2 linked regions of the Mytilus edulis genome follow. The protein of the gene in region 1 interacts with the protein of each later gene in a pairwise test. Links are inferred from orthologs where the notes say so. Each region holds a gene or a part of one and is shown on either strand. Other genes may lie near its edges.

Region 1 (7,078 bases):
AAAACAGCAAGAAAATTATTAATCTATTCAGATACATAGCTGAGAAATCAACATAAAAGGAATAAGTTGAGATAAATAACTATTTGTGAAAATAAGTTGGTTTACAAAATTTGAAAAATAAACAAAAAACATACATTCATACACCTTGGGCATCTATTATATTGATTTCTGTCCTAATAAATACACTATTGACATCCTTTCATGAAAACATAACAAAACCTCAGTTTTGAATGAAGAATAAAAAACAACAACCAGGGTATATTGAACAATTACAAGTGTATTTTCATTTATTTGGAAGAATTTTTTTTTAATCAGGTAAATTAATCAATGAGTGATAGATTTCTCTTGGAAGAAATTTAAAGGTCGCATCAAATAAACTATACAGAGAACAATACCTGTTGTATTTGTTCAATGGGACAATAGAACTTACAAAAGTTTAAATGGACAGGTAACTTGCAGGTGAATCTATGGAAAACTATGATAGGGTTCGCAATAACATACTTTAACATTGAATGGGCACATTATATGAGGATTTGATACATATACTTACTGAAATAGTTCCATTATTTAATCCAACAAATAGTCTCCTTGTTTCTCCATTGTATGTTAATGATGCTGCCTCAGCTGTAACAATTATCATATTTTATGCATTTATCTTAAAATAACAATAAAATTGAGAATGGAAATGGGGAATGTGACAACAACACGACCATAGAGAAGACAACAGCAGAAGGTCACCAAAAGGTCTTCAATACAGCGAGAAATTCCCGCACCCGGAGGTGTCCTTCAGCTGGCCACTAAACAAATATATATAATAGTTCAGTGATAATGAACGCCATACTAAACTCCAAATTGTACACAAGAAACTAAAATTAAAAATAATACAAGACTAACAAAGGCCAGAGGCAGTCTTCTTTTGTAGCTTTCCAATAATCAAAATCTACACATACCTATTCATGCAGTGATTATAAATTTGTATACAAGAATGCTTACTTTTCGCTTAGTAACATGTTTTGATTTTTAAAGTCAGCCAAATTTCCAAAAATAATTTTCTAAAGTTGTTTTTGTACACAATTATTGGCTGCTAAATTTCTCGTTTGAATTGTTTTACTTTTACCATTTTTGGGCCTTTTAAAACTGACTATGCGGTATGGGTTTTGCTCATGGTTGAAGGACATACTGTGATCTAAAGTTGTTAATTCTGTGTAATTTGGTTTCCTTTGGAGAGTTATTTCATTGGCCATCATACCCCATCTCCTTTTTTCTAAAAAGATTTTAAACTGTTCATTCTTCCAAAAAAGGGAAACTCATATTTTTTTAGTTTTTTTAGTTTTACCTTTACCTTCTCAAATTTGAACAACAAAAGTTATGGAATAAATATTCAAAATTAGTCATCAATCAATCAATCACCATGCATTGTATCTCTTATTTGGTACACACATTTGTTTTAGTTAATCTATATTGTGGATGATGGAATTAACTACTGAATGTAGTCTAGAAGAGATCTAGAACATTGTTAGCTACATCAAATTTATACAGAGGTGAAGCCTGTCAAATCTGAAGTGACACTAATATTTCATTTTATACAACTTACAAGGCAATGTGTGACAAATACTTGGCCAATACTGTCCTGTATCTCTTTTTAACCATACTCTTAATGTCCTGAAGATAAAAAAAAAATTAAGAATAAATTATTAGTTTTCCTACAGAAAATTATTCTCCAGAAATTGTAATAATCTAAACTGAAAATTCATGACAAACTCGAAATTCAAGGCCATATTTGGCCAAAAGTGAAACTTTTCCTTTCTGCTTTGGTCTCTTTTTGATTCAATGCATCTCTTAACATGTCTATTAAAACTGTAAAAACTAAACCAACAGAAAAATTTCTTCCTGATTAATTTTCCCATAAAGTTTGATAATAAAATGGATTACGGCAAATCTTGTTGGCATTCACAACCTTCCTGTAGTGACTTAAACATTTCTCTTTGCTTTATTGTATAGTGCTTTTCCTTTCCTTATTTTTATTGTATGTTCCTGTATGTACCTATCATACAATCTACTGGTAAAGATTAAGGAGACAGGGTTGAGATTTCATAAAACTTAACTATAGTTAAGATAAGTGCCTATCCCAAGTTAGGAACTTTGTCAATGGTTGTCAGATGTCATAAATTTCATTGTTTTTCATTAAATATCTTTATCATAACTTCTTTATAAATTACAGAAATTTAACATTATATAGGTTCATAACTCAAGAACTGTTAAGCATTGTCTATAGGTTTCAATTAGTTCATGAGAGAGCAGAAACAAACAAAAATCAGCATTTTTTACATTTGTAAAGGGACATAACCCGAGAATGGTAAAAATGATGCCACTAAAATCTCAAACTTGATCTGTGTTTTGTGTACATGGGCATTGTGTATAAGTTTTATAACATGATGTTGAGGCAAACTAAAGTTAGAGAACAGAAACCAATTATGGGATGCAGGGAGAAGAGTAAAAGTTTGCTACGCTGCCCAACGGTGCAGGCATACAAAAAATCAAATAAATAAGGACAGTGGTTAAAATGTCCTATGGCGAACCTATTATGTCACTGAACAATTATGTCTCACAGTGACAAACATTAATAAAACTGATACATTTGTATATATAGACATACAAACAATCATAAAGGCTAAAAGCATCAATGAGCATAACTTTGAAAACAGTACCCACCCCTTATTTTTTTTTATCAAAACCAAATGAACACGGTACAGTAGGTTTAATAAGTGTTATTCAAGGCAAAAGCATCAAGTTTATTTAGATTTGTAACAAGAGGCGTAAATGGTGACGATGCTTGTACTTGGTAGCAACAGCTTCCGGATTGGATTGGCTATAATGAACAATGTACACAACGGGCACCTGTCAAATTTTGAGCACAGCTTACTTATCATCGCTGACAGTGACAACTCCGTCTTCCCGAGGGATTATAACTGCCATATTGACGTCATCTTGAAAACCTTCTAATTTACTTATTAGAACAGGTTTTCTTGTGTTTCCTTGCTTATTTTGTGATGGCTTTATTTCTGCTGCCATTTTGTTATCATCACGTGACAATTAAATTCTATTTATAGAATTGTCAGTATAAAAACAAATTTGTTAGAAACAGCGATGAAAAGTTTCCGGTCATAAATTCCTCAGTATCCAAATGGTTAACTTTTTAAAGAGACATTGGCTGTAAATTCATGTTCACTTGACCCAAGTTCTCATATTTGATCTATAACATCCTACAACGAATCAAAGTATCCAATCATAAAATGTCTCCGTAAACTTTGATAAACAATTAACACTGAATTGACTTGTTATAAACTTCAGTGTATGCATCAACATTTCGTCACGGTATAATTTTGTTTATACTATAGTACCTCATCGAGATGACCCCGAGGACTGTCAACGGTCATATAACCCCATTGCCATAACTTATAAATAGATAACGACCACATGCAATTAGTTTTTCTAGGTCTATTAGATTTCATAATGTAGGTTTAAGGTATGTTTATCACCTTGAACGTTTTTACCTGAATAATGATGATTTTTTGTTGATCGATTCAGTGAAACAAATGGTTTCACTTTCAATGTTTACACCAGGGGCGTAGCTAGGCCAAAATGATGTGTACGCAATGCCGGGGAAAGAAGTCATACGGCGAGGAGTCTGGGGCCACAGAAGCTCTAGAGTAAATGGTGCAAAATCCTGCATTCTCGCGATTTCCTGGGACTGAAAATGACCTCACAGAAATCTTATTTTCATGAGTAACAAGTCAACTTTTGAAAATAATTAAATTTGAAAAAAAAATAGAGAAAAAAAACTTCTAATGTGTAGTGGGTAGTGCTTATTTATATATTAGGTAACAATTAAAATATATAGTGTCACCACCATATATTTTAATTGCTACCTAATCAGTCTCAACCTACTATTCATTCACTGAGAAAATCCAAATTTCTAAGCCTTAAAGGGTATTTTTTTTTATTGAGAAAATACATAAATAAATCGAATCACATTTCTCTGTTTTATTTTATAAGAGAACAAGCAGTCTTTCTTTTAGCTTTTAATTTTCAAAGTTAGTTCTGAAACAATGACCATTTCCTTTCCAGTTATCCAAAACCGTGTCTGTTAAAATTTGTTTTTCGTGGTATATGTTCAATAGAACAAGCCCAGATAAACGGAATGGATTTCATTGTATTTCGTTAGTCGTCTCATGGTACTGAAAGAGTGTTCTATCGTTGTCGTCCATACCGACATACATGCATATTATATGTTAAGTATTTTAAAGATTTCCGGGTATAAATCCTTGTTTATAACATCATAGTTTGGAAACCTTTAACTTTACATTTGTATAAATACTTTTAAAGTCCCAAAATCTACAAGGAAAAACTTCAAAACTAAATCTGAGTTCTTTTTATCAACTTCCAAAAACGATCGTTTAATTTTAACAAAGCAAGGAAAACAAGGACTTAAAATTTTGCACATGGAGAATAAGCACTTTTAATCTCAAGACACGTATAATTAAATGGACGAGGCACCCATCTTGCAGGACCGAACATAAGATAAACAAGTAAAAAACACGTTGATCGTAAAAAAAAAACGGCGAATAGGTTGCAAAAATATTGCCCTATTATAGAACATCACGTTTTATTTCATCAGTCATTTTGAAATCTTCAGAAAATATTTCAGGGTAAGGAGGCATAGTAGACGCACTTATTGTATTCTGAAACCCCGAGGACTCAGCTATTTTAATTGTTTGCATCAGCAGCACAATCACGATGCTGGTCCCGAAAATGTAAAGAGAAAACTAGTTTCCGGAACGAAATATAGTTACAAAGTGACTATTAACATATTTTTATAACACTTTATAATTAATTCTATTACTTAAGTTTTATTCTAACTAGATTTATCATATTTTTATTTTTGTCAAATTTTCGATGTGTACGCAACTGCGTTTTTGCGTACGGGTTGCTACGCGCCTGTACACTGATTCTTTTCATTTTAATACTGAGCTACGTAACCCATCTCCGGCTATAACGGCGCTTAACTCATATCAGTACTGGTTCAATAAGGCCGAATCACTCCCTTCCAAGTGAATAATTCACCAGTGATGTTTATGTGCTTATTTTGACAAGCTTGACCCCAAATTGGCTGCTCAAGGCGAATTATTATTTCACTATTTTACTTTTAGTAATGATTGAACAAACACAATTCTTACTAGATTTTTTTTATATATGTCGTAGCTAATATGTGCCTTTAAATATATATACGGAGTGTTTTTCGGAGACAAGAATCTGCACACACATATATCTATAGATATATTATGTCTCTCGCTATATCAATAGAAAAAATAAGCTATTTATCTGACTGATATAGGCCTATCATATAAGAGCATCTTGATGGGGAGGTTCTAAACTTCTTTAACTGTTTGGGGCATTTTTCTTTATCTTTAAAAATAAGACGTTTAATTCCTTCTAAGTGTATCCGATGAAAAAAGATGTGTTCTGTAATTAGATGATTTTTTTTATTTTGTACAACATTTATTTTTGTAATCAGTATTGTCTTTTTTAAATTAATTCTTTTATTTTACTTTGTAATTCCACCGTTTCAATTTACCACATGATTATTCTCTATCCTTTAATATTTTGCCATTTTTTTCTCTCTTCATTTTTTTTTGCCATTATTCATAACTAAGTTCTCTAAACCCCATATAGACTCTCATATAAGATGAAGCTGAGATTATTTCAACATGTGTTGTAAAGTAGTGATCCGGGGACCTGATGGGTTATTTTCATTCTTCTTGATCGGCGCATTTCAGGCCTGTCGTGAGCCGTTTTTCTACAGATTTTTTTTTTATATTTTCGTGATCCGTGATCATGGAAACTTATTTTCTGTGAATCGTGATTGAAAAAAAAATCAACTCGTGAATCGTGATGAGACCCCCCCCCCCCCTCAAATCAGGCCCCTCATTAGTATCAGGGAAGGGAGAAGTAAGACATATAACATGTACACATAACATAAAACAAACTAGCATGTAGATAAAAGATATTTTAAAAAACGTAGGCCCAACATATCATGCTTATAACCCTTGCAATCCTACATCGTAGTCTTGTTATACTTATTTGTCATGTACCTCTTTTTACAAAATGTATAGCTATCATTATAGAATATTTCTCAATAAATGTATCTAATCCACAAGACTTTCATAAAGAATTTTCATTTGATGTAGCTGCTTCGTGTCCAGCGACAAATACATTAATCATAATACATACAGATAGCAACATAAATGTGTTGCAGAACATTGCTTTAGTTAATTTGAAATTCCAATTAAAAGATTCTATATACAAGGCATTCAAAAAGACGTTTTATTTGATGACGCTGCATCATGTCCAATGACAAATATATCAGTCATAATACAATAAGATAGTAACATATATGTTTTGCAAAACATTACTTTAGTCAAATTAAAATTCCAGTTCATAAATTCTTGTTTACCAAACCAAAATAGGTGTAGGAAACGTCTGAAATACACGATGGTTGATTTTATTGGTATTTTGGTGTTTAATGCCACTTTCATCCCTATACATATAGTATTTGAAAAAAAGACATTATAACCATGAAAACGTAAAATTGTCTAATGGACCATGAAAAGTATGTCAAGGTCTGATGAACTCTGCCAAACAGACATTTCGGGGCCTTTTATAGCTTACTATGCGGTATTGGCTTTGCTCATTGTTGAAGGCCGTACGGTGACCTATAGTTGTTTATTTCTGTGTCATTTTGGTCTCCTGTGGAGAGTTGTCTCATTGGCAATCTTCTTTTTTATATGTACACATAACAATCATTTAATTTACCAAATATAGTGGACCCATTGTTTTTTGTATCGAAGAAACAGACCATAACACAGAAACTTAACATTGACCAATAAACCACGAAAAGAGATCAAAGTCAAATAAAACCTGCTATTCTGATATGTACACCTTACACTCTGTCCATATACCAAACATAATTGAAAATGATTAATTATAATAAGATAACTGGTACATGTATATATATATA
Region 2 (7,337 bases), on another chromosome or scaffold:
AATTCAGTGGTTGTCGTTTGTTTATGTGTTACATATTCGTTTTTCGTTCATTTTTTGTGCACAAATAAGGCCCGTTGTTGAAGGTCGTACGGTGACCTATAGTTGTTAATTTCTGTGTCATATTGGTCTCTTGTGGAGAGCTGTCTCAACATGGCAATCATACCACATCTTCTTTTTTTTTTGTAATCAATGAAAAGATTTAATGACTGGAGAATTTTAGAAAAGGTATCAAAAGTTCACATGAATATTTTTAGCGATTATCTAGAGTTGTCTCAACATGGCAATTATACCACATCTTCTTTTTCTTTTGTAATCAATGAATTTTGTAAAAGATTTAATGACTGGAGAATTTTAGAAAAGGTATCAAAAGTTCACATGAATATTTATAGCGCTTATCTGTATATTATGAACATTCATTACAGTAACTATATAAATATAGTTTATTTACTTTCAATTCTAAGTTTACTAATCGATTCATGGTGGTCATTGGTATAGTAAACACACGTGAGTATACAGACCCTCTCTATTTATTATTATTATTTTTTAATAAACTCTGTGATCGCCGTAGATAGTAAACTTGAAAATGATAGCAGATAGAATTCTGAAAATACACTTTATTCTTTGTATATTTGTTCAAAGTACATGTATACAGAAAAACACAAACCGGAAGTCTAATCTGACTTAAAATTTCGTCCAATGACGGGACATTATCCGGATGCCTTTTTTCTCGTTTTTCTCCCAAAATAACTCAATCTGAATAATCATATGAATGGATGACAAATGCGACTATGCACTGTACCTATAGGACACAGAGGCGTGTTGATTAATTTATTGTGGAAAGAAGAGAAGCGACACCCAAAATGAGGTCTTCTCGTTTAATAGTATAGATGCAACTGGTATGACCCCTTAAATAGTAAACAATTGAAAGAAAAACAGTAGACAGAATACAGAGAGTCTCTATATATTAAAGTAGTATAATTGTAGTTTACATGTAGATAAACGCGAAAAATAATTGTCCTCTATAAGGAGGTATTATAATAGTTGTGGTTCTTGCGATCTAAACACCATGACATGGAGAACGATTTGATAGGCTTATTTATTTTTCATTTTTTGTTATCTATCATAAGATTGGTTGTGTTTGTGCATGTTTCAAACCGGAAGTCTTATCTATGACTAAAAGTCAGTCTGATGACGGAATCATATCCGGACTCCTTTTTTGTCGTTTTTCTCCCAAAATAACTCAATCTGAATAATCATAAGAATGGATGACAAATGCGACTATGCATGTTACCTATAGGACACAGAGGCATGATGATTGATTTATTGTGGAAGGAAGAGAAGCGACACCCAAAATGAGGTCTTCTCGTTTAATAGTATAGATTTATTTGAACTTTCATTATAGAATTAGAAGTATCAATATTTTCATTCATTGCCGTTTTTAACCATTCAAATGCCAAGTCTTCATGGTCCCCCCTTAGTCGAGAATGACCAAAAGCTGTCATGAAGGTCCCCATGTAGATTTCTTGTATTTTTGGTAATTGTTATGGGGGCTAAAAATCATATGATGTGGAGCTTATTTTTCATGGACACTGTCAAATTCAGAACCCATTACCGGTATGGCTGATTTGCAGCAACAAATTAACAAAACGGTTCGTACGGGTTATGTTAAGAGTTAAAGAGATTTGTAAAGCAAACGTTGACAAATGTTAAGGTTTTTAATGACTTTATCTGGCAAATTGATGCTGTGAAACATGCATCTTTCGAATCTGAATAGAAACCGGAAACGCGTATGTATCAATTTGATTGTAATAAACGAAATGAATTCTGAATTGCGATACGATATTTCTTCACAGGAAATATTTAAGTTTTTACTTTTAAACTTGTAATTCTAAATTGTTGTTACAGCAGTACTCGAGTTATTTACGATGAAATAATATTCACTGTTTTGCGTCTTATTTTGTACTTCTTAAAAAAGAGGGATGCTGATTGCGTAAGTCAAAATAAAGCATGTGTTCGACTTTTTAAACTGTTTTCTTTGTAACTGGATTATTAATTTATTTATTTAATCTAAATTATCATAATCATTTGCTGCAACTTAGTTGATTAATTCGACAAATGGATCGTCTATCCTCAGATAGTATTCTCCTGTCTGGTTTGTTGATCTACATGTACCTGTACAAGCTCAGTTACATTACAAGTGATTAGCGATCTTAATCCAGATATCCCTCAGGCGTTAGAACTGTATTGGATTATAACATAAAAAGCCTAAGGGTTATGCAATTACATGCATTTGATTATAATTGATAAAAAAATGGCGTCTGGCTACAAAAAAACGATGAAGTTTTGAAAGACGGCGGAAGACATTTTAACGATGGCGCAAGACAATATAACGATGGCGCGAGTCATTTGACAGTGGCGCAAGACATTTGAACGATGGTGGGGCGCCATCGTTAAACAGGCCATGGAGATCCTTGGGAAAGTACCAGTCGACATGAAAGATCATGAAACCCCTGAATGAGATTAAACCATGTAGTGTAGTGATTATTTGAACTTCTTGAAAAAGGTGATAATTAAAGAAAGACAACTCTTACTTCCAACCTTTGTGGACATACAATGTAATGTTAGTTTTTTTTTTTGTTACTCAATTTACTTGAATCAGTGATTTAGAAAATCACTTTTAAGTAAGTCCCTGACTGGTTAACAAGTTAAGTCTTCTTAAGACGCTGGATCGCATGTTTAAAGACAATACAAATATCAGTTGAAACAAATATAAAAGGTGAAAAGTATAACCGGTTTCACAAATATTTTTTTTAAATGATTTTGTATGCATACCCAATCAATAAAAAGACGATCAAAGCTACCAGAAAATAATTCGTCTGGTAATACAATAGATTGTTCAGAACTCTGTTCGCCCATTTCTCTGCGTCTTTGATGTTAGGAACTTGAAATCTAGCAGAGTCCAATACAAAATCACTCATGGAACGGAGAGGAGCAATCTGTACTTCAGCCATGCTGTCAATTTAGAGGCCGCTTGGAGCTTTAAAATATCAACACTGATACAAATGGTGAAATACATGTTATGTTTATTTTATTTTTGTACAAATATTTTTAAAAATAAATAAACAAAAGGCTTGAATTTTTTTTATTAAGCAAATATGAATATATATATTTTTTTAATTTGTTTGTTATGATATAAGCAACAATTTAAAAAACTATACACTTTGAGATTGTATCCATATAGAATCAAATACTGCACAACAAATTCTTGTACAGCATTTCAAATAACAAAACGCTACAACTTTTCAAAAATTAACAAAATGATAAAACGGTTCTCTTACAAAACATAACTACACAATAAATACTAGATCAAAATAAATATATTATGATAATTTTTATTTCAAATCAAGCTTAATTATAGTACTGGAACGCAACTGTATAGTGCCTAAATTTATGTACGTTGTGGTTAAATTTTGTTTCAATTTTTTTTATTAACTTTGTACTACTACTGATGACATCCGATGTAGCCACTTCTGAAATCGTGTGAGCTACTTGTCAATAATAGCATCCGAATGATATTAACGTTTGAAACACCTCGATCTTTGTTATGACATTCAAGAAAACAAGTAACAACAACCGGTAAAAGAATCATAAAAACAGAGAAAACGAAAAAACAGGTACATGTGAAATACGAAGCAGATATAGCTTTTTCTAGGGAACAAGATATCCTGTATTCTTTCCTAATCTGATATTTTCAGCTTTCTTTTCAAAGTTGCACCTATCTTTGATCTGGAATTAGCTATGTTGCTCTTAAGGGAATCCGGGTCCGTTCGCACCCATTCACGTTCGCACCCACTCATGTTCGCCCCTTTTCACTTTCGCACCCTACATGTTCGCACCCAAAGTCCGTTCGCACCCTACATGTTCGCGCCCAATTTTAATTAGTTTTGTGTTTAATAACTTTGTAATCAAGTTTTGGCAAGTACAATCTTTAGTCTTTAGTAAGTGTCCCAAATGACACTGTAAACACTTGTTTACGTTTCCTCTTTTGTAGTTTCTTCACATATCAGGGCGTAACTAGCCTCTTTTACAAGTGAGGCAAAACATTCGCCGAGCGTAGCGAGGCGAAAAATTTTTGGCTAGGAGTCGGGGGGGCGCTGAAGGCCCCCAGACGCTCTGAGAAAAATAATGCAAAATCGTGCATTCTGAGCTATTTTTTCAACAATATTCTGGTCTCATAGCAATAACAAAAAATCATTGTATTTTAAGACTTTCAGGTTTTAGGGATAACATTAAAAAAAGATCGATATATATATGATGAATAAAGCAAAAATCGTAATTCTCATAATCCTTAATACCGAATCTGTCTGTCTTGTATTGTACTTAGACTTTGGTGATTTTTTTATGACTAGATTTAAATATAGTGACAGTGCAGTATTATACTTTAAGTACTAGTACTGTTAAAGTCGACACTAGGGACCATCTTGATCTTGTTTTACGATTTTAATGATTCTTTTATTGTTGGAGACCATCCAGCAACTATCAAGATAAAGAACAGGAATTAAACTTTAACAATTGATCATTCGTATTTTTCTATACATTGACATTGTGTGCGATTAGGTTCCGTGCACGTGTACTCAATATTCCTTTTTTTCTCTTAAAAGAGTCTGAACATGACTTAATGCAAGGGTAACCCTTCAATGTAAAAGGTCATATGGCAATACATTGCTGTTGTTTTTTTTTCAATTTTTTTGATACCGTGGAATTGGTAACCATATTTCAATTTCAACCATGTCAGCTTTCTAGTTTTATCTACGAAAAAAGCCAGTTTTGTTCTCTTTGATTTCAAGTTCAATTCTCCATGCAGAAACAAAGATTCATTTCTGTGTCTTGTAGCATCATATATTCTTAAAATTTCTCGCACATTGTCTGGACATCGGTTGGCATGCAACATTGCAAAACTACACGTTTACAAATGAAATCAACACTCAGACTATAGTCATTAAGTAGGACAATAAATTAACAAAAGACAAACACGGGACATAGAAGTACACACAATAATAGACCATCAACTCTGATAACTAAACGTAAAATAGAAACATGGATCACGAAAAACATGAAGGGCTACACCAGATAGTGAAGAGAACTGGCTTCTTGCAAGACTGACACTTTCCGTCAAAACAATTTGACAATCTTTTTGTTTCAGGTTGTTTTTTTTTTGGTTTTTTTTTAAATTTCAAACATGAGGCATTTGCCTCATTTGCCTCAATGTAGTTACGGCCCTGCATATGTAATGTTCACTCATGTAATTAATTGAAATGGTGGCTGCTGCTTAAAAAATTTTGACTTAATTTTGATTTAGAATTATAGTGTTTTTTACTGTATAGTGTTTTTGAATCTACCAGACTCCGTTAAATAATTTTCCAGATGGCACAATATCTCATTTCGATTGTCTCTATTAATGTCTTCTTCATCGATTCCTAGAAAGGTGTCTAAATCCATATGTATATTTCCTGTTATGAAGTAAATAGATGTTCTCATCCTCTCTCTAGCCTCCTCATAGTTAGAACAATGTAAAAGGTAGTGTTCTACAGTTTCTGGCTCTCCACAGGAACAATTTTTGTCTGTTGATGGTATGATTTTGGATTTGTAATCATTTAGATCACAATAACCTGTTCTCAAACTAGTAATAATTGAAAACGACCATTTGGATGGTAAATCTTTTGGTATTTTTTGACAAACTTTTTGATGATAGTTATAATAATTTCTGCCACGTTGACTTGATTCCCATTGGTTCTGCCATTTTCTTAAAACACTTTCTCTTGCTGCACGTTTTATATCCTGCCTGGTTACTTCTGATGGTTCTTCAATTTTTATAGTTCTTATAAGTATTATTGTTTTCATTGTCTCAAAATAAAGTGAGACAGCATTTTTTTTTGTGTTAAATAAATCTTAATCATGTTTTGGATAGTGTATTGTGATAAAAATGATATTCCTTTCTAAATAAAGTGGGATTCTGTCAACGTTTAATTTTGTGTTGAATAACTCTTAATCATGTTTTGGTTAGTGTATTGCTGTAACTTTGTTTCATTGACTTGATTCAAAATGAAGTGAGATTCTGACTACGTTTTTTTTTTTTTGTGTGTGTTGAATAAATTTTATCATGTTTTGGTTATAATAGTGTATTGCTATATTTTATTGTTTCAGAATCTTCAATCTTTTACTCATACCAAGCTATAAATATATTCAGTATTTACACGAAAGCAATTAAAAACAACAATCTATGATTTTCCAATTATTCAACTGGAATTTGAATTAAAATTGGGCGTGAACGTGTAGAGAGCGAACGGACCTTGGGTGCGTACGTGCGAGGTGCGAACGTGTAGGGTGCGAAAGTATATTGGGCGCAAACGGACCTGATACCCTCCTAAGGTCTTTTTGATGATTTTTTATATTTGCGGACCATAGACTATGCCGGTGTCATATGGTATTTTGAACCCCATGGTAAATTGACCCCGGGGTCAAAATACCGCTATGGTAAATTGAACCCCCCCATGGTAAATTGAACCCCCCCTGTATGGAAAATTGAACCCCCATGGTAAATTGAACCCCCCTGTTTTTTTCATCCTAGATGAATATTAGAACATTTTACATTATTCTAAAGCTCATCATAGATTAAAAAATCATTCATACAAGCAAGGGAGGTACATTTTCAATGCTTAATTAAAAGAAATATCTTTGCTTGGTATAAGTGCTCTGAAGTCTTTACCAACAAAATGTCATTCAAAATACTTACTGACACATTATAACTAGACCATATGTAGCTTGAATGCTTTAATTATTTGTAATTATAACATATGTATATATATATATATAAGGGTAGTTTTGATTTTCCATGGTAAAAAAAGGGGGAGGGGGTCAAAATACCATGGCAAAGTAAAATTTTAAAAATATCTTTTCCAGCAAGTTAAATTCATACAAACTACTTATTGGTGAATTCTAACTACATAAAACAGTTAGAATTGCCAGATTTTTGGAAATTAAAGGCCTAGAGTAGGGGGTTCAGTATACCGCAGGGGGTTCAAAATACCATGGCAAAGTAAGATTTTCAAAATATCTTTTCCAGCAAGTTAAATACATACAAACTACTTATTGGTGAATTCTAACTACATAAAAGAGTAAGAATTGCCAGATTTTTGGAAATTAAAGGTCTAGAGTAGGGGGTTCAATATACCGCAGGGGGGTCAAAATACCATGGCAAAGTTAAATTTTCAAAATATCTTTTCCAGCAAGTTAAATACATACAAACTACTTATTGGTGTATTCTTACTACATAAAAG

Evidence for each region. The genes of interacting proteins can lie anywhere in the genome.
Region 2: the proteins of WD repeat and FYVE domain-containing protein 2-like (region 1) and PRA1 family protein 2-like interact in a two-hybrid assay, tested with the Caenorhabditis elegans proteins (2 studies listed by BioGRID). The link is inferred for Mytilus edulis from reciprocal best matches to the Caenorhabditis elegans genes wdfy-2 and praf-3.

What each region holds. Positions count from the first base shown.
Region 1 is NC_092346.1:51,581,005-51,588,082, forward strand, and holds the start of WD repeat and FYVE domain-containing protein 2-like, read right to left. Parts: upstream 3,109-7,078; 5' UTR 3,073-3,108; coding exon 2,924-3,072; intron 1,663-2,923; coding exon 1,595-1,662; intron 625-1,594; coding exon 551-624; intron 1-550. UniProt on the Caenorhabditis elegans protein: Plays a role in coelomocyte endocytosis.
Region 2 is NC_092344.1:23,143,777-23,151,113, reverse strand, and holds the start of PRA1 family protein 2-like, read right to left. Parts: upstream 3,038-7,337; 5' UTR 3,012-3,037; coding exon 2,833-3,011; intron 1-2,832. Other genes in the region: uncharacterized protein, read right to left, coding at 5,374-5,901.